Linked DNA regions of Callithrix jacchus. The protein of the gene in region 1 purifies or fractionates together with the protein of each later gene. This does not show direct contact. Links are inferred from orthologs where the notes say so. Each region holds a gene or a part of one and is shown on either strand. Other genes may lie near its edges.

Region 1 (10,086 bases):
TTGAGTCCACAAGGGTAAAGTGAGAAACAGAGGCCGTTGGCAAAGGTCTAGGTGACAAAATAGCCCAGAGTTAAGAAAACGGCTTAAAATCTATTGCCTATAAGGTACTCCTCTAAAATCTGGCAAGTTCTCCCACAGTACCTTTTTGTTGTTGTTTTTCACTTAAAAATTGGTTTGTATATACTTAATTCACTCTACGGTTCTCAAATACATTATCAACTCATTCTCTTGGGATTGCTTGTTATATCTGCTATAACAAATTTTCTTTTAAAATTAGTTATAAAGAGGAAACAGTTTTGAAGTTTCAAATAGATAGGGAAGCAGAAATTTGATGAAAGGATATTTACATCCTGGCTATCAGATTTTTGTATTTCAAAGACCAGTCAACTTTTTTTTAGTTTTTAGCAGACAGATGTAAGGCTGAAAATTGTTTACATTTCCAATTTATGAACAATAAAACAAGTTTAATAGAATAATTTTTGTTTTACAACTCATTAGTTGTGTTTCATAGTTTTTCACTTCAGCACAAATGGTAAAAATGACATCAGGCAAATTACTGGTTCCTGGTTTAATGAGCAGGGGGGTAACAAATTGATTCTATTTTTTACTACATTTACTATAGATCCCTTTTAGGTACATGCACTTTTCCAACCACTTGTTTTCCTATTTATGAAGAGACAATGAACTTTTGCTACTTAAGATATATTTATAATAAAGAGCCGTGATGTCAGTAGTTCTAAACATCTGAACAAACATGTATTTTTCTTTAAATCCTAATATACACAGCCTTCTTGGGCAATAATCATTATCGCTTACATTTGTGTAACAGTTAAGGTTCAGAGGTTTCATATACATGAGTGCACTTTGTCCTCTGAAGAGTTTATATTTCATTACTCCTTTTTGCATTAATCATGAGGAAATTTGAATTTCAGAAATGTCAACTTTGCCTTTGTTCTGAGGTACTCATTTCCACATTTCTTTCAGATGGTGAATGTGTATTATTTCTTTAGCCCTATTTTGGGAATTACTCTTTCACCCTACAAACATTTGAAAAATGTCTTGTGAAAAATGCTAATTTCTTTTTGTAGACAAAACCTTGTCACAAGCGTTTTTTACCCTGGGTGTGTGGATGAACTTCAGAAATGTCATTATACCCTTAAAATTATGAAAATATGAACATATGCATTTTCCTGAAGAATGGGTCAAAAGTGTTCATCATATTCTCTATTAAGATCCAGGCACCAAAACAGAAAACTACTGCTCAACTAGAAGAGACATGAAGGGGCTATTATAACTTAAACTAAATCCTAAAACTAAATTTAAACAAGTTATTTGCTAAATTAGTCTTCTATTTTACTTTTTTGAAAACAATTACTTATTGTTTGAATTTAAAAGCGTATGAAATAAAACTAAATCTTACCAATGGCAGTCCTACAAATGACATTATAGTGAGCACTTGTTAAATGATGAACTGATTAATTGGAAAACTTACAAAAGGGTTTTTGTCATGAAGATCTTTCAACACTGCTAGATCGCTGCACAGCAAGAATTTTATACATTTAGCAGAACCACTGAATCAGAAAGTCAGGAAATCTGGGTTCTAGTACCAGTTTTATTTATAACCAACCATGTACAAATAACTTATCTATGAAATAAGGCTAACATCTACTCCTTAATTCACAAATATATCACAAAACCAAAATCCCTTCCAAAGAAAACCTCACTGTAAACCAAGTCATTCCCTCTATGTAGGCTAGGCTTTAATTCAAAGGTTGAGAAAGACAAATTGGAGCATTTGTCTTGTGTTTCTCAGTTGCAGACTTTAATTCTGCAGATGGATAATCTGGTTGAGATAGGCACTGTCATCCTCAATTTTTACAAAACAAAAAGCTACCAACAAGAAGTTAATGGTGAAGAAAAATTTGGCTCAAAAATAACACAATTGAGAAATAGCTTTGTATTAAGTGCAGTACTTATAACATCCCTGATGTCAAATGAACAAAATTTACTCTTAGGTTGCTAAAGCATGTTTACCCTTTTGAAGACACATACACTGCTAGGGCAGGCATATTACTTCACTAGAAATAAACAGGAAGGTCTCGTAGGTTGTTCAAATGGCCAATCAAAATGACTGAGAAACACTATTGTGCTTTGTTTTGTTTATCCTTTCCCTTTCCTTTTTATTCATTCAGAAATTCAGTTCCCCATCCTAGACCAGACTGTCCTCTGCCAGGCTGTAAGAAAAGTTAGCATTCTGTCACTAGAGAATAAACATAGAAGAGGAATTAGCATGTTATTGAATATAGAATCAGGAAGATAATTCTAATTGGATATAGAAAAATTTATACACCATAAACATCTGTATATGTACACCATTTATATGTGTCGTGACAACCATATGTGTTAATAAACCTTCAAAAGGTAAGCACCTATATTTCCTGTAATTAACAATGTCAGTTTTGTGCAATTTAGTCTATATTTATGGACTTTCCCTTACATATGGTGACAGAGACTGAAACATGTTCACAGAGAAACACAGAACATATACAAATCTCAATAAAAAAACTATGTATACCACTGTTTAGGGAAATATTTTAGAGGAAACATACTTTCACTACTGGCCCCAAATGCCATCATCCACTTAGGTTGTTCAGTGTCAACTTTTCATACAAAAATACTTTCAAGCTGATAATTAAGAACATTTACAGTGACTTACAAAATGGACAATATTCCAATGCTACACAAAACAGTTCTATAATACACAGCTTAAAGTTTTAAAGTTCTTTGCTGGCACTTGTTTTATAGCTGATAGACACAATAACTACTGATCTGTGTAAAATACTGTTTTTAGCTTATACGTATGTTCTAAACCATATTATCTCACGAAAACAGTAATGAATAAATCACTTTTTGTTGAAGAATCCTTTAGGACAAACACCAAACCTATACAGCCAAAATATTTTACGGAGGCAAATAAACATTTTAAGACAAGCCATGACCAATGGATAAAAATTTACATTACCCAATTATATGTTCAGGAATTGTTCCTCTGACTCAATAAAGCGTGTAATGGGCATGGATTAAAAATACAAATGTAAAAAGCAAGTTACCTTGTGTTTTGTTTTGGTTTGGTTTAGAAGGGTGTGGAATCCTTTTTTTTTACTTTCTGTGTGCTTGTGAGGCCATTCTGCACATTATCAAAATGAAATCACTATTCAGTAACCTTAACATACATATATCCAATTTTTTTCCTTTGTAGAAGAAAACCAAAATAATTTTACAAACTATATTTAACTTAGAATATAAAGAACTGACTAGTTTAAGATTTTGAAAATCTACCACTTTCATTATTTTGAAAGTACTCATCCTTCAAAACGCCATCAACAATCCCTAGTCCAGTTTTCTATTATACAGATTTAAAAGATAAATTCTTTGTGGCACTAAAGAAAACTTAAAAATTAACAGAAGACTGAATTAAAAAAAAAATAAGCCCACTAATCAAAACAGTCCACTGTGGGATGAATACCTGAACCAGGAAAAAGCCTACCAAGCATCCCAACCAATTATATAGTTCTTGTTTGCATATTTTAATTTTGGACTTTCAGCACAGTAAATTATTAAACGGGTTGGTTTCAGGGACTGTTTAAACCCTGTAGTATTTCAAAATGTTACCCTTTCTAAACCAAATCTGTGGTCGTAATCAACCTTTTTTTCCCAAGAAAAAGAGAGGATATCTTTTTAACATACATTCCATAGCAGTAGAAACATCTTAGTGTCTCAAAATACTATTTACAAAGAGCCCTGCTGATCCTGTGCATTTCGCTGAGGTGCTACCTGCACCCAGACTTCATCATCTGAAAAAGAACTTGAACTTCCTGACTCAGAGTCCAGTTCACTGAATCCATCTAAGTCCCATTCAGTACTAGACTCACTCCGTGCATCATCTTCCTCAGTAATGAAACTCTGACCAGGTTCGAGGCAGGAAGGATAAACTCGAGCACAAAGGCAAATAAAGCCAGAGTCAAACTGCAAAAGGCCTAACATGGTACCTATATTAATCCACTGATCTTCCCTAGTATCATACTCATACACTGTCACTCGGTTCTTTTTCCATTGTGGGGTTGTAGAAGTGATGAGCAGCAACTTTTGCTCATGATTGACAATCTGGTAGTTGTGAGTTTCTGAATCCAAAGGAATATTACTAATCCGCCTCCATTCTCCCCTAGCTGGGTTGTAGACCTTCATGACTGGGATGTCACAGATACAATAGATTTCATCATTGAAGACACACGCTTCCTGAAAGTCACTGCGTTTAAGAGAAGCACAGTTTAGCCACATATTGTGGCTAGGATCATAGCAGAGCATGCGCTTACTGTTGACAGCATAAAGATAGTTCTGAACCACTATGAGTTCAAAAGAATAGAAGGAATGAGGGACAGGAGCCACCAATGCCCACTGGTTTCTCTGAACACTGTAGCATTCCACTTCCTTCAATTTAACTCCAGTAATAGGGTCTCGTCCCCCCAAAATGTAGATGTAGCCATTGAGGTATGCCACATCCATGCCCTCGCGACACAGCAAGCGATCTGCAAGTTGCTGCCAACTATTCTGAGCTGGTTTATACACCCAGAGGTCTTTCCTGGGCTGGGCAGCTAGGTAGATGTCATGATCTGGGGAGACACAGACAGCTGAGGAGGTGATAGTCTTAGTGTGAGCAAAGCTGGTTAAAGGTGACGGCATTGTGTAAATGTCCCCCGAGTAAGGGTCATAGCAGAGAAACGGATCTCTGGGGTGTCCAAAGAAGATCACCATCTCCTTGGCACACATACCCAGCCTCTGAGGTGGATTTTCTGCTGCAGGTACAACAGAGTTGTTGTTGCTGCTGTTGCTGCTGCTGCTGCCACTGCTGCTGCTGCTGCTGCCGCTGCTGCCGCTGCTGCTGCTGCTGTTTGGCACTGGCACCAGAGACTTGTACAGCAGGTCGCCATAGCGCATCTGCAGGGCCCCTTCAACAACGCCCAGGCAGTACTTCCTCACTAAGGACTTGCTCAGCAGCCCTTCTAAGTAGTCCTGATCTTCCTCAGTGAAGTGCGTCCAGCGCACGCACTTGAAGACTTCTGCAGCACTGGGACCCCGCTCTTTAGGAGCAGCCTCCAGCCACTGCACTGCTACGTGGCACACTGTCCGCTCACTCTCCACGTCCAGACTATCCAGGCGCAGAACAGCCAGCAGCTGGGCCAGGGTCAGATCTGCTAGAGTCTCCTCCCGAATCGAACCCATTCGGCTGAGCTGCTTGAAGTTGTGAGCTATATAGGACTGGGCCTGAGACCTCAGCTTGTGATGGTCAAAGGCGTCTGCAAACTTGAGGATGGCGGTGCAGTTGGTCAGGTCCAGGCGTCGGGCTAAGAAGGAGGCACAGGCTTCCCGCACGTACTCCAGCTGCAGCATGTCCGAGGCCGCGTACAGGCGCTGCACGTTGGCCTCACTGAGCGACACACGACCCGTGTAGCAATAGTCCACCAGCACCTCGAAGGACTCGGCGTCCACGTCGTGCATGGTCACGCTGGCCTGCTGGCTCTCGTACATGCCACCTGTGAACATGCTCTTGAAGTAGGGACACGCAGCTGCCAGCACGTTGCGGTTGCAGGAAAAGAGGCGACCCGTGCCGGGCCCGCTGCCGGGCGTTACCACCTCGATGGTCACATCGCACAGCAGCCGCGCGTCGTAGAAGGACTTGAGCTGGGCCAGGAGGGCTGCAGAATGGGCCGTGTCCTTTAATTCCTCTGGGCCCGTGAAAAAGGCCGAAACCGAGGGCTTGGAAATCCTCTTGGGCCGCCTCCCACCGCGGGGACTGGCGAGGCGGCGAGAGCGCGGGGCGTCCTCCCGGGACTGCATGATGGAGATGGCGACGGGCGCTGAAGGCGAGAACGGCTGCAGGACCCGGCTCTGGCTCCTCCTCACCCTTCCCTCGCTGACGCTAACACAAGCCGCTTCCTGGAACAGACTGCGGCACGGACCTGACTCCTGAATTCTGCCTACCCCGCGGTGAGGCCTCCCTTTATCGCGTAGACAGTGGCTGACTCACCCTCTCTCACTTCCGCGCCCTTTCTCCGCCTCTGCTCGCGTTCACAGGACCCGCTGGCTGGGAGCCGCGGAAGCCCCACTGCCGCGCTGGCGATCCCGCTAGGCGCCCTGGAGAACTACGGTTCCCGGGTTGCCTTTCGCGCCCCGAGGCCTGCTGGGGCTCTCGGACAGCCGGGCCAAGACCGAGGAAGGAAACCGCTTTGCATGTTGGGAGTAGTAGTTTGTGAAATATCGCGAGCTTTCCTTTCGTTGCCTGCTCTAACAGAAGTAGAAATTAATACTCCGGGATTTGATGGTGAAGAACGAGGTCTCACTATTGTTGCCAGGCTGGTCTCGAACTACTGGGGGCTCAAATGATCCTCCTCCTTCGGCCTCTCAAAGTGCTGGGATTACAGGCGTGAGCCACTGCGCCCTGCCAATATTTTACAGGGTTTTGTGGGGTTGAATGATATGTTACATAGGATGCTTAAATATGTGTATTTTTTTATTAGAAGAATAATTAATAAATCACTACCCCGTGCCTAGAATGTAATCAATAATTGTTAGATTCTCTTTTATAATTTATGATAAATGAGGCACCCGCTAATTTGAAACCAAGTATTTTTTTTAAAACTGCAAAACGTTACAAAGCTTCCAATTTTTAATTTTTATTTTTTGAGAGGTTCTGAAGAGTATTAATATTTTCAATATTAAATGATGTATATTGGTCTCATTTAACAAGAATGTCTTAGATGGTTAGGTTGAGGTCCTAAAGAGCAGTATTAATAGATGGCCTCAAATATGCAAATTGAGCATATACAAATAGATGATTTGCTGCTCTCACTAACATTTCATCTCTGCAGAGCAAGAGTATTTTCATTAAGCTGCAAATGTAAGTGTGTTCAAATTGAATAATACAGCCTCTTTCTTTTTTTTTTTGAGATGGAGTTTAGCTCTTGTTACCCAGGCTGGAGTGCAATGGCACGATCTCGGCTCACCGCAACCTCCGCCTCCTGGGTTCAGGCAATTCTCCTGCCTCAGCCTCCTGAGTAGCTGGGATTACAGGCATGCACCACCATGCCGGCCTAAGTTTTTGTATCTTTAGTAGAGACGGGGTTTCACCATGTTGACCAGGATGGTCTCAATATCTTGACCTCGTGATCCACCCACCTCGGCCTCCCAAAGTGCTGGGATTACAGGCGTGAGCCACCGCGCCCGGCCAAATACAGCCTCTTTCACTGCCATTCTACAAATCAGTTAACAGACTCTGCAATTGCTTTCGTAGAGAAGTTTTAGGGAGAATTTTAACTCAAAACATTTCAACAGACTTTGTTCTGTACAAAAGCACATGATTCTCAGACTTCAGCATTCATACATGCCCTGACGTTCCTTGAATTAATACACAGTATAGTCTATGCTTTACAAAACTATTTAATATATGCGTTGATCAACAGCTAAATCATCAAAACCAAGTATTAGAGATTTGAGGCAGGAAAATAGGGCCTGGAGGCCGGGAACATAGGCCGATGCACACCTCAGCTCTAACAGGAAGTATCCTCTCCACAGGGTGTATGCCGAGCAAATGGCTGTAACTTTACCTCATTCTCTTCATTTACATAGGGCATACAACAAGTAACCAGTGGAATCCTCCGGAGGGTCTTTAAACCTCTAGAAATGCTGTAACAGGGCCCTTGAGCCCCAATGGAGTGTACTTTCATTTTCAACAAATCTTTGCTTTTGTTGTTTCATTCTATCCTTGCTTTGTTTATGAGTTTTGTCCAATTCTTTGTTCAAAATGCCAAGAACTTGGGCACCCTGCACTGGCAACAGATAGACTTTTAAAGATCACTTTTATTTAAAAAACAGTGACCGCTCCTGGTGCTGGTTTGTTATGTTACCATAACCAAATAAATAAAATCATCCGTATTACAATGCATGTGTGGATAACACATCACAAGAGAATAACTTCAAATTGTTCTTCTCTTGGCTGAAGAGTATCCGCTGGAAATATTCTAGGGTAGACACATTAAGTCAGCCTCTGGGCTCCAATATCTCCTCTGTAAATAAAAAGAGATGTTAGATGTCCCTGAGTTACACCAGAGAGAATTAAGTCAGTCATTGCCAGTAACGCCAATTGTTTCCTCACTTGTAATGAACACCAGCCGGGAATAAAAAGCCTTTTTTATTATCTTTTGAGACGGGTTCTTGCTCTGTTACCCAGCTTGGAGTGCAGTGGCGCCATAATAGCTCACTGCAGCCTCGAATTCCTGGGCTCAAGCAATACTTCTGCCTCAGCCTCCCAAGTAGCTAGTACTATAGATGCATGCCACCACGCCCAGTTAATTTTTAAAAAAATGATACATGGGGTCTCACTATGTTGCCCAGCCTGGTCTGGAAATCTTGGTGTCAAGCTCTCTTCCCGCCTGAGCCTCCAAGTTGCTGCAATTACAGGCGTGAACCACATGCCCAGCTCAGGAATGGCCATTTTGAAAAAACTTCTTAAAATATTGGTAAAACACTAAATCTACCATTTAAAAATTTTCCGTGTGTAGTGTCTGTAGCATTAACTATATTCACATGGTTTTGCAACTGTCACAAAACCGAAGCTCTGTACCGATTAAACAATAACTCTATAGTCTCCCACTTCGGGCAACTGCCGTTCTACTCTTCGTCTCTATGAATTTGACCTCCCTAGGTACCTACAAAAGGTCAGGGACTGATTTTTACCTTCCTTATATCTGCCCTTACTGCGTTATTTGGTTTAGATTACCTGTCACAGAATTGAAAATATTTATTAGGCACTGTTCCCTAAGGTCTAGAGCTAAGTGCTGTCCCATAAAACTTGGAAATACTTTATATCTGTGCTGATACAGTAGCCAGAAGACACATGTAGCTCTTGAGTACATGATATTTGCCTAGTGCAACTGAGGAATGAAATTTAACATTTTAGAAATACAGCACGACACCAGTGCGGTTTAATGAAGAAAGAAAATTCTTTTCAACAAATGGTGTTGGAACAACTGGATCAAGAATGTAAGACAAAAACTCGCCCTTGCCCCTACCTTCCATCATAAGCAGAAACTTAATTCAAAATTTCTCAAATTTCTCAAAATTAATACAAAATGGAAAAGTGGAAACTATAAAGCTTCAAGAAGAAAACAGAAGACTATAGCTTTGGGGTTGGCAACGTTTTCTTGGGACACAAAAAACAGATCATTAAAAAAGACAGTGAATTTCAACAAAATTACAAGCTGTGGCCTATGGAAAGGCAGTGAAAGGAATTAAAGATAAGCCATAGACTGGGAAAAAATACTGGTAATATGTATACCTCGTGGCCAATGCAAATTAAACTCACAATGAGAAACACTGAATACCCGCTAGAATGGCTAAACTTAAAAACGTCAATGATACTACATATTGTGGAGATACAGAGCCATCGAACTCTCATGTGCTAATAATAGGAATATAAACTGGCATACCTGAGAAACATTAAGTTTACCCCGGCCTCATGGCTCCTCCGTGGAAGATACCTTTTGGTTTGTAATTAGTGGTAGGTGGATAAGAGCTGCCTACTTGGTATATTTTTTGAGTTATGAGTAAATACAGAACACCTGTTTAAGAGAGAATAAATAACGTTGATGAGAATCTGCTCGGGGCCTTCATCCTGGAATGCCGTCAGCCCCTGAGGCTCTCAGGCTGTTGGCCCCACGGATAGATCCACTCTGCTGTTCTGTCTGGATGTCTGCCTCTCGTTACCTTCAGCACTGCCTGGGTGGGGTCTCCCGACTGAGCTGGTGCTCGGTATATACTCACATTAGAAAACTCTTTTGTAGTTTCTTTTAAACACCCTGTACTTTCACTCCCAGGCAGTTGCCCAAGGGAAATAAACACATAAATCCACAAAAACACTTGTGTAAGTATCTTCATAATAATGTTAATGACAAAGGTGGTCCCTTGAAGAGGGAGTTTTTCTCTCTTCTAGGTCATGAAGCCAAGATGCGAAACTGAAAGTGAGCATCAGGC
Region 2 (9,936 bases), on another chromosome or scaffold:
GCCGAGGCGGGCGGATCATGAGGTCAAGAGATCAAAACCATCCTGGTCAAAATGGTGAAACCCCCTCTCTACTAAAAATACAAAAATTAGGGCATAGTGGCGCACGCCTGTAGTCCCAGCTACTCAGGAGGCTGAGGCAGGAGAATCACTTGAACCCAGGAGACAGAGGTTCCAGTGAGCCAAGATCACGCCACTGCACTCTAGCCTGGCGACAGAGCAAGACTCTGTCTCAAAAAAAAAAAAAAAACAGTGTGAGCAACATAGTGACACCCTGTCTCAACAAAAAATTTTTAAAATTAGCCAGGTGTGGTGGTGCATACCCACAGTCCCAGCTACTCGGGAGGCTGAGCGGGGAGGATTGCTTGAGCCTGCAAGTTAGAGGCTGCATGAGCTGTGATGGCTGCACTGCACTCCAGCCTCTGTGACAGGGTGAGACCTTGTCTCAAAAAATTTTATTTTTTTGAGGGGGATGGAATTTAACTCTTGTTGCCCAGGCTGGAGTGCAATGGCAAAATCTTGGCTCACTGCCGTTTCCACCTCCTGGGTTCAAGTGATTCTCTTGCCCCTCAGCCTCCCGAGTAGCTGGGATTACAGGCAGCCGCCACCACACCTGGCTCATTCAGTATTTTTGGTAGAGACGGGGTTTGCCATGTTGGCCAGGTTGGTCTCAAACTCCCCACCTCAGGTGATCACTCTCCTCAGCCTCCTAAAGTGCTGGGATTACAGGTATGAGCCCGGCAAAAAAACAACTTTAAATCCATGTCCTCACCCACACCTGCCACATTTCATGTGCACAGTGACCACATATGGCCAGTGGCTGCTTCGTGGGACAGTTCAGATATAGAATGTTTCCAATACCACGGAAAGCTCTATCCTGGAAACTTGCATTCAACAGTACAGGTCTAGACCAGGGTTTCTTGATCTCGGCTCTACTGACATTTTAGGGCCAGGTGGTTCTGTGCTGGGGAGACACTGGGATGTTTATTTCACAGCACCCCGGCCTCTCCCCTCTGGATGCCAACAGTACCCTCCCCAGGGCTGTGACATCCCAAAATGTTTCCAGATATTGCCAGGTGTCTCCTGGGGACAGAACCACTCCCAGCTAGACAGCATGGGGCTAACGCCTATAATCCCAGCACTTTGGGAGGCCAAGGTGGGCCGATCACCTGAGGTCAGGAGTTCAAGACTGGCCTGGCCAACATGCTGATAACACATCTCTACTAAAAATAGAAAAATTAACTGGGTGTGGTGGCACATGCCTGTAATCCCAGCTACTTGGGAGGCTGAGGCAGGAGAATCACTTATCGCTTGAACCCCAGAGGCAGAGGTTGCAGTGAGCTGAGATCGTGTCACTGCACTCCAGTCTGGGCAATAGAGCAATACCCAAAAAAAAGAAAAAAAAAAAAAAAAACCACTCCCAGCTGAGAACTACAGGCCTGGCCCACTGAGCACAGCTCCATTCCACAGATGGGAAGACTGAGGGGCTGGGGACACACACAAGCCCTGAGCATCTTCCTCTTGCAGAGCCGGAGCCTCCAGCAGAAGGGAAGGAGACTGCCTCGCTGGAGAAGGAGGCCCCCCAGACGCAGGGCAAACGCATCAAAGTGGAGCCCGTCCCGAGGGAAACCGAAGGCTCAGAGGACAGTGGTGACGAGGATCCCTCCGGCCACCCGGCCCCACCCCGGCCCGAGTTCACCTCTGTCATCCGGGCGGGGGCCCTGAAGCAGGACCCAGTGCGGCCGTGGGGCCTGACACCTCCCGGGGACCCCCCGCCCACCCTCCTGCATGCGGGCTTCCTGCCGCCCGTGGTGCGGGGTCTGTGCACACCCGGTGCCATCCGCTATGGCCCGGCGGAGCTGGGCCTGGTGTACCCGCATCTGCAGAGGCTGGGCCCAGGCCCCGCGCTCCCAGAGGCCTTTTACCCGCCCCTGGGCCTGCCCTATCCGGGGTCTGCGGGCACCAGGCTGCCGCGGAAGGGGGACTGAGGACTGGCAGAGCCGCCGGCGCTGGACACTGCGACGGCTGGGGGCCCCCTGGGATGGCGGCCCTGCTCTGCCCGTAGCCCTGAGAATTAAAGGCCGGCTCCCCTTGCAGTGGTTTGGGCTCCTGGCTGTGAGCTCCTCTGTCCGTTTCTGGCTCCCCGCGGGTCCTCGTCTCCCTCTCCCGCCTCCCGGGTTAGTCCGCTCCTGGCTGCCCTTCCCCAAGGAACACGAACCAGCACTCGGCATCTGGAGGAGGGGAGGTCAGGTTTTAATGTCCCAGTCCTCGGGCGCCGCCGTCCAGCGCCTGCCAAGCCCCGCGGCCGTGTGGCTCACTCAGGTGGTGGCCGACCCGCATCATCAGGGCCTTCCGCGGAGGCCGCCCCGTCGTCCTCGGGTACCAGCTCCACGTCCAGCTCCAGCTGCCCCATGTAGAGGCCCACGGCGCACGCCCAGAGCAGGCTGGCGGCCAGCACGGCGCCCACGCCCGCGGCCGCGCCCCCCAGCGTCAGCTGCATGGGTCCTCGCAGCGCCGCCAGGCCCACTGTGTACGAGGCGCTGCCCCACACCACGCACAGGCCGCCCAGCAGGAAGAAGCCTGCGGGAGAGGCAGGGTAGTGCCAGGCCCAAGGTCGCGGGGTTGGGAGAGGAAAAGGTATCGGGGTGTGGGGGATGGTCTGGAGCGGAGACAGGAATAGTGGTAGGGGCTGGACTGCACCTTTAAGAATCAGATCGGAGGGGAGGGGACCATAGCCATGTCCTGGGCCACCCACTTGTGGGCCTAGTGCCCATGGGAGGGGTGTCATCTGGTAGGGGAAGAATGGGGGTTCTGTACTTACTACCGGGGATAGGATGGGGAGAGAGTCTATCCTAACCAGGGCAGGGGGCAGGGGCTGTGCATTCCTGGATCCCTGAGGGGGGGCAAGAGGGGGCGTCTGCACTCACCATAGGCTGCTTCCCGACCCATGTCACTCTGCATGAAGGAGATGACCCCGATGCCCGATGCCAGGAGGCCATTTCGGAACCAGGAGAGGAAGGCTGCAGGGAGGGGGTATGGGGGGATTAGCATCACCTGCAACCCTACCTCAATCCCCCTCACCCGCTCGAAGTAAGGGGCCTCCAGCTCCCCCACCCCGTCCAGCCACAAGGCAAGCCCACCCCAAATCCTCATCTCTTCCAGTAAGCCCCTCACCTAACCACATCCCCCACACCCTCTCTGGCCACCACTTTAGAGCCCTTCTCCCCCAAACTCTGCAACACTAAGGATTCAAGGGCTGGGCGCAGTGGCTCACACCCGTAGATCCCAGCACTTTGGGAGGCCAAGGCAGGCAGATCATGAGTCAGGAGTTTGAGACCAGCCTGCCAACACAGTAAATCCCCCGTCTCTACTAAAAATACACAAATTAGTTGGGTGTGGTGGCACACGCCTGTAGTCCCAGCTACTCCGGAAGCTGAGGCAGGAGACTCACTTGAACCCGGGAAGCAGATGTTGCAGTGAGGCGAGATCCTGCCACTGAACTCCAGCCTGGGTGACAGAGCAGGACACTGCCTCAAAATAAAAAGGATTCAAGATGATGGTTCCTGCAGAATATGGGGAAAAATCTAGGACCAAAGTGGCTGAACCTCCAGACTCTTAGAAGCCATCTTGGGGTTGGGCGCGGTGGCTCACGCCTGTAATCCCAGCACTTTGGGAGGCCAAGTGGGCGGATCACGAGGTCAGGAGATCGAGACCATCCTGGCCAACATGGTGAAACCCCGTCTCTACTAAAAATACAAAAATTAGCCGGACATGGTGGCACGTGCCTCTGGTCCCAGCTACTCGGGAAGCTGAGGCAGAAGAATCGCTTGAAACCAGGAAGCAGAGGTTGCAGCGAGCCGAGATTGCACCACTGCACTCCAGACTGGTGACAGAGCAAGACTCCATCTCAAAAAAAAAAAAAAGCCATCTTGGTCAACCCCTTCCCTCTACGTGTACCCCCACAGCCTGTCAGCTCACTTCTTTCTCAGAACTCTGGGACAAACTGTTTCCTAACCCAAGCTGCTCCCTAGCCTCGCCCTGCCTTTCCTTCAAATGCCACCATCTCCTACCGAGTATGGCCTGGACCAATCCCATCCACGTCCATCTCCATTCAAGTCCCTGGTGTGGACAGCCCACTACATCCTATATCTAGATGCCCAGTCCTGGCCAGGTGAGGTGGCTCATGCCTGTAATCCCAGCACGTTGAGAGGCCAAGGCGGGAGGACTGTCTAAGACCAAGAGTTCGAGACCAGCCTGGGCAAAAAAGCAAGACCCCATCTCTACCTAAATTAAAATAGCCAGGCGCGGTGGCTCACGCCTGTAATCCCAGCACTTTGGGAGCCCGAGGCAAGCAGATCACCTGAGGTCGCGAGTTCAAGACCAGCCTAACATGGAGAAACCCCGTTTCTACTAAAAATACAAAATTAGCAGGGCGTGGTGGTGCATGCCTGTAATCCCAGCTACTCAGGAGACTGAAGCAGGAAAATAAAAAAATTAAAATAAATAAAAACAAAGAGACTGAAGCAGGAGAATCACTTGAACCTGGGAGGCAGAGGTTGCAGTGAGCCAAGATTGCGCCACTGCACTCCAGCCTGGGCAACAAGAGAGAAACTCCGTCTCAAAAAAAAAAAAAAAAAAAAAAAAATTAAAATAGTTGGGCGCAGTGGTGTGTGCCTGTAGCTCCTTAGCTCAGCTAAGCAGGAGGCTGAGGCAGGAGGATGGTTGAGCCCACGAGTTCAAGGCTGCAGTGCGCTACCGTTGCACCACCGCACTCCAGCCCAGGTGACAGAGCAAGGCACTGTAATTTGAAACATTTTTTTAAAAGATAGCTAGTCTGCTCCATTCGGGACCTCGCCTCCGATACAAGCCCCTCCCCCTGCAGCCTAGATCACCTCCCCTTCCAATCAGCTGAGAGGTTTTTCCCTATTGGTTTCCCCTCCTCCAATCCAGAGCTTCCCCCTCTTCTGCGAGGATCCACACTCCCGCTCTCTGCACAGTGGTGGCCCCTGCAATCAGAACGGATCCTTCTTGTATACAACTCCACAGACTCTAAGCTCTCCCTGGAAGCCCCTCTCTTCACGGCAGGCGCGATTCTATGAGGCTGCCTCCAGCAACCCGACAACCCCCTCCCATCTCTACTGCGCCCGGTTACCCGGGGTCTCCGTCCTCCCCGCAAGCCCGTCCTCTCTGCGGGCACCTGCGCTTCCCTGCGCTCACACGGAAGCCCTTCCCGCAGCCGAACCCGGGCCCCGTTTCCTGCAGAAGTCCCCACCCCGTCCCATCCACACCGCCCCCAACCCCAGCAACTGACCTGTCTCGTGCGCCTTCCGGAGGAGCCAGGCGTCTGCACGGTCCAGCTCGGACACCGGGGGCGGCGAAGCCCCGGCGCGGGGGCCGTGGCCAGGAGCAACGGACCCCCGAGCACCCCCGCTCCGGGGCCGCTGAGGCGGCAGTAACGACCTCCGGAAGCGGAGACGGGCCAGCCGGGCGGCCCGAGCCCACCACCAGCCGCCTCCCATGGTTCGCACTACTGCCGCTGCGCGCCGTACCGCCCCACGGGTCTCTGGTAGGTTGCAACCCGCGTCACTCAGGATAAACGGCTTATCCATTGGCCATGCGCTCGCCATTCAGGCCCGGCTCGAACTGTCCATTGGTTGGAATGATAGCGATTCCCCCCTTCTGTCATCTAGGCCGGTAGTGTGCGTCCCTCCTTGATTTTGTCACTGGACTACGAATCCCAGAAATCATTGCACTCGGGGAAGGCCGATCTTCAGAAGCCGTCAGCGAGATGTCTGCAGGGACTTGTAGTTTTTATCCTTTTTTTTTTTTTTAAACGAAGTACATGCTGAACACCTATTGTAGTTTGTATTAACAACGTTAATTCCAATGGCGAGAAAACAAAACAAAACGTGGGGCACTTAATATAGAACCTTTGCAAAATCTGCAGGATCCCAAAGAGGAGAGTAAACCTCACCAGTAATTCCCAATGAGTGATTACTACTACCATTTTGTTGTATTCCTGTCTTTTTTCTATGCAGATGTAAAATAAGATGGCACCTGACACATTAATTTTTCTTTTTTTTTTTTTTTCAAAGACAGGGTTTCACCATGTTGGCCAGGCTGGTCTTGAACTCCTCCTGATCTCAGGTGATCCGCCAGCCTAGGCTTCCCAAAGTGCTGAGATTACAGGCGGGAGCCACCACGCCCGGCCTAATTTTTCTTCACATAAAAAGATATCGTGATGATTAACCCACGGCATTAATTTGGCGTGAGCCACCACGCCTGGCCCTGCAGCTCTATTTATTATGAGACCAAAAAAAAAAAAAAAAAAAAAGACTTTAAATCTGTGTCTTTCTGATCCTGTGCACTGGGAAGCCATAGAGGATTTATGAAGAGGCAAAAAAAAAAAAAAATTGACAATATTCAATTTATGTGTTAAGAAGATCCTTCTGGGCCGCCAGACGCGGTGGTTCAAGCCTGTAATCCCAGCACTTTGGGAGGCCGAGGCGGGTGGATCACGAGGTCAAGAGATTGAGACCATCCTAGTCAACATGGTGAAACCCCGTCTCTACTAAAAGTACAAAAAATTAGCTGGGCATGGTGGCGTGTGCCTGTAATCCCAAGTACTCAGGAGGCTGAGGCAGGAGAATTGCCTGAACCCAGGAGGCAGAGGTTGCGGTGAGCCGAGATCGCACCATTGCACTCCAGCCTGGGTAACAAGAGCGAAACTCCATCTCAAAAAAAAGAAAAAGAAGAAGAAGATCCTTCTGGGCTAGGTGCGGTGGCTCACACCTGTATTCCCAGCACTTTGGAAGGCTAAGGCGGGTGGATCACCTGAGGTCAGGAGTTCAAGAACTGTCTGACCAACATGGTGAAACCCCTTCTTTATAAAAAAAAAAAAAAGAAGAAGAAGAAGTTCCTTCCGTCTGGCCGTGGTGGCTCAGGCCTGTAATCCCAACACTTTGGGGGCCTGAGGCAGGTGGATCACTTGAGGTCAGGAGTTTGGGACAAGCTTGGCCAACATGGTGAAACTCTGTCTCTACTAAAAATACAAAGATTAGCCAGGTATGGTGGTGCACACCTGTCATCCCAGTTACTCAGAGGCTGAGGCACAAGAATTACTTGAACCTGGAAGGCAGAGGTTGCAGTGAGTCGAGATCTTGCCACAGCACTCCAGCCTGAGCGACAGAGCGAGACTCCAACCCCCTCAAAAAAAAAAAAAAAAAAAAAGAGCCTTCCCTGGACATAGCAGCCTGCAGTTCCAAGAAAAAAAGGAAGAAAGAAAAATAAATAAATAAATAAATAAATAACAAGATCCTGGCTGTGCGCTGTGGCTCATGCCTGTAATCCCAGCACTTTGAGAGGCCAAATCAAGTGGACCACCAGGTCAGGAGTTTGAGACCAGCCCCAGATATGGTAAAACCATGTCTCTATTAAAAATACAAAAATTTGCTGAGTGTGATGGCAGGCGCCTGTAGTCCCAGCTACTTGGGAGGCTGAGGCAGGAGAATCGCTTGAACCCAGGAGGCGAAGTTTGCAGTGAGCCAAGATGGAGCCACTGCAGTCTAGCCTGGGCAACAGAGCAAGACTCCATCTCAAAAAAAAAAAAAAGAAGATCCTTCCGTCTCTCAATAGAGGATGTGCTGTGGCAGGGAGACATACAGGTGGATAGGTGAGCTTATCAACAGCTATCTATTTCTCTGGATCCCTCCCCTAGTCCAAATCCTTATTGTATTTCACCTAGAAAACTGAAACCAGGATGGCCAATGGTCTCCAGGCTCCCTAAGGTAGATTTCCCATTTATTAATTCAGCAAATATTTATTGAGTATCTACTGTGGGACAGGTTTTGTTTGAAGCACTGGGAATGCAGCAGCAAACAACAAAGAAATTATAAATATTCGTGTCCTGGGGGTGATGACATTCTTGGGATGGACGGAGAACCAAGAAACAATTAATGTAGGCTGCTGGTGGTGGCTCATGTCTGTAATCCAAGCACTTTGGGAGGCTGAGGCAGGTGGATCACAAGGTCAGGAGTTTGAGATCAGTCTGGTCAATATGATGAAACCCTGTCTCTACTGACAATACAAAAAGTAGCCGTGTGTGGTGGTGCATGCCTGTAATCCCAGCTACTCCAGAGGCTGAGGCAGGAGAATCACCTGAACCCAGGAGGCAGGGGTTGTGGTGAGCCGAGATCATGCCATTGGACTCCAGCCTGGGCAACAAGAGTAAAACTCTGTGTTAAAAAAATTTTTTTCAAGAAAAAATCAGTCTCTTTTTTTCTTTCTTTTTTGAGACAGGGTTTCGCTCTTGTTGCCCAGGCTGGAGTGCAATGGCACCATCTCAACTCACCTAAACTTCTGCCTCCCAGATTCAAGCAATTCTCTTGCCTCGGCCTCCCAAGTAGCTGGGATTACAGGCAGGTGCCACCAGGCCTGACTAATTTTGTATTTTTAGTAGAGACAGTTTGTCTCTATTAAAAAAAGGCTGGTCTCGAACCCGCGACCTCAGATGATCCACCCGCATCAGCCTCCCAAAGTGCTGAGATTACAGCCATGAGCCACAGTGCCCAGTCAAGATCTGTCTCTTTAAGGCAGATTTGTTTTCTCTGCCTTGACCTCTTCTGGTGTTCAGCTATTCAGCTCCACCTTCTCTCATCAGCATAAAACATTTCACCAGCCAAGAATGTGAAAAATGTGTCTGGAATATTTTCAGCTTGCACTTAATCCCATTTAAAGCTCTGCATTCATGGCCAGCCTGCGGGCTGTGCAGTGCAGTCCATTTGAACTCCCTCCTCTAGCTTAACCCCCTTGGTAGCTCCCCTACCCTTCCTCTCCATCAAATCCAAGCCCTGCCCAGTAGAAGATAAAGGAGCTGATTTCCAGAGGTGCCTGGCCCAGCAGGCCTTGTAGCCAAGGTCCCAGGGGGCAGTGGAGGGTTCTGGAAGGTCTTCCTCTCATTGGTGGGTTTAAGCTGGGGAACATCACCAGATGCACATTTAAAGCATCCTTGAAGGCTGAGCACAAGGGTTTATGTGTGTAATCTGAGTGCTTTGGGAGGCTGAGGTGGGAGGATGGCTTGAGGCCAGGAGTTCAGGACCAGCCTGGGCAACAAAATGAAACCTCATTTCGTTTTTTTTGTTGTTGTTTTTTTTTTGAGATGGAGTTTCGCTCTTGTTGCCCAGGCTGGAGTGCAATGGCGCGATCTCGGCTCACTGCGACCTCCGCCTCCTGAGTTCAGGCAATTCTCCTGCCTCAACCTCCTGAGTAGCTGGGATTACAGGCATGCGCCACCATGCCCAGCTAATTTTTTGTATTTTTAGTAGAGATGGGGTTTCACCATGTTGACCAGGATGGTCTCGATCTGTTGACCTCATGATCCACCCGCCTTGCCTCCCAAAGTGCTGGGATTACAGGCGTGAGCCACCGCGCCTGGCTCATTTCGTTTTTTGTTTGTTTTGAGTCAGAGTCTGGCTCTGTCACCCGGGCTGGAGTGCAGTGGTGTGATCTCATCTCACTGCAACCTCTGCCTCCCAGGTTCAAGTGATTCTCCTGCCTCAGCCTCCTGAGTAGCTGGGACTACAGACATGTGCCACTATTCCAGGCTAATTTTTGTATTTTTAGTAGAGACAGTGTTTTGCCATGTTGGCCAGGCTGGTCTCAAACTCCTGACCTCAAGTGATTCACCTGCCTCAGCCTCCCAAAGTGCTGGAACTACAGGTGTGAGCCACTGCACCCGGCCTGAAACCTCATTTTATATAAAATTTTTTTTAAATTAGCTGGGTGTAGTGGTGTACACTTGCAGTCCCAGCTACTTCACAGGCTGAGGTGGGAGGGCTGCTTGAGCCCAGGAGATCGAGGCTGCAGAGAGCTATGATTGTGCCACTGCACTCCAGCCTGGGCAAGAGAGAGAGACCCTGTCTTTTCTCTCTCTCTTTTTTT

What was found. The genes of interacting proteins can lie anywhere in the genome.
Region 2: the proteins of kelch repeat and BTB domain-containing protein 7 (region 1) and TMEM160 purify together in Homo sapiens (co-immunoprecipitation; 3 studies listed by BioGRID and IntAct, counting the BioPlex papers as one, with this or other methods). This does not show direct contact. The link is inferred for Callithrix jacchus from reciprocal best matches to the Homo sapiens genes KBTBD7 and TMEM160.

Annotation. Positions count from the first base shown.
Region 1 is NC_133506.1:160,343,037-160,353,122, forward strand, and holds kelch repeat and BTB domain-containing protein 7, read right to left. Parts: upstream 6,195-10,086; 5' UTR 5,896-6,194; coding exon 3,790-5,895; 3' UTR 1,595-3,789; downstream 1-1,594. UniProt on the Homo sapiens protein: As part of the CUL3(KBTBD6/7) E3 ubiquitin ligase complex functions as a substrate adapter for the RAC1 guanine exchange factor (GEF) TIAM1, mediating its 'Lys-48' ubiquitination and proteasomal degradation.
Region 2 is NC_133523.1:41,011,541-41,021,476, forward strand, and holds TMEM160 (transmembrane protein 160), read right to left. Parts: upstream 5,527-9,936; 5' UTR 5,517-5,526; coding exon 5,309-5,516; intron 3,018-5,308; coding exon 2,925-3,017; intron 2,578-2,924; coding exon 2,312-2,577; 3' UTR 2,230-2,311; downstream 1-2,229. Other genes in the region: NPAS1 (neuronal PAS domain-containing protein 1), read left to right, coding at 1,525-1,985.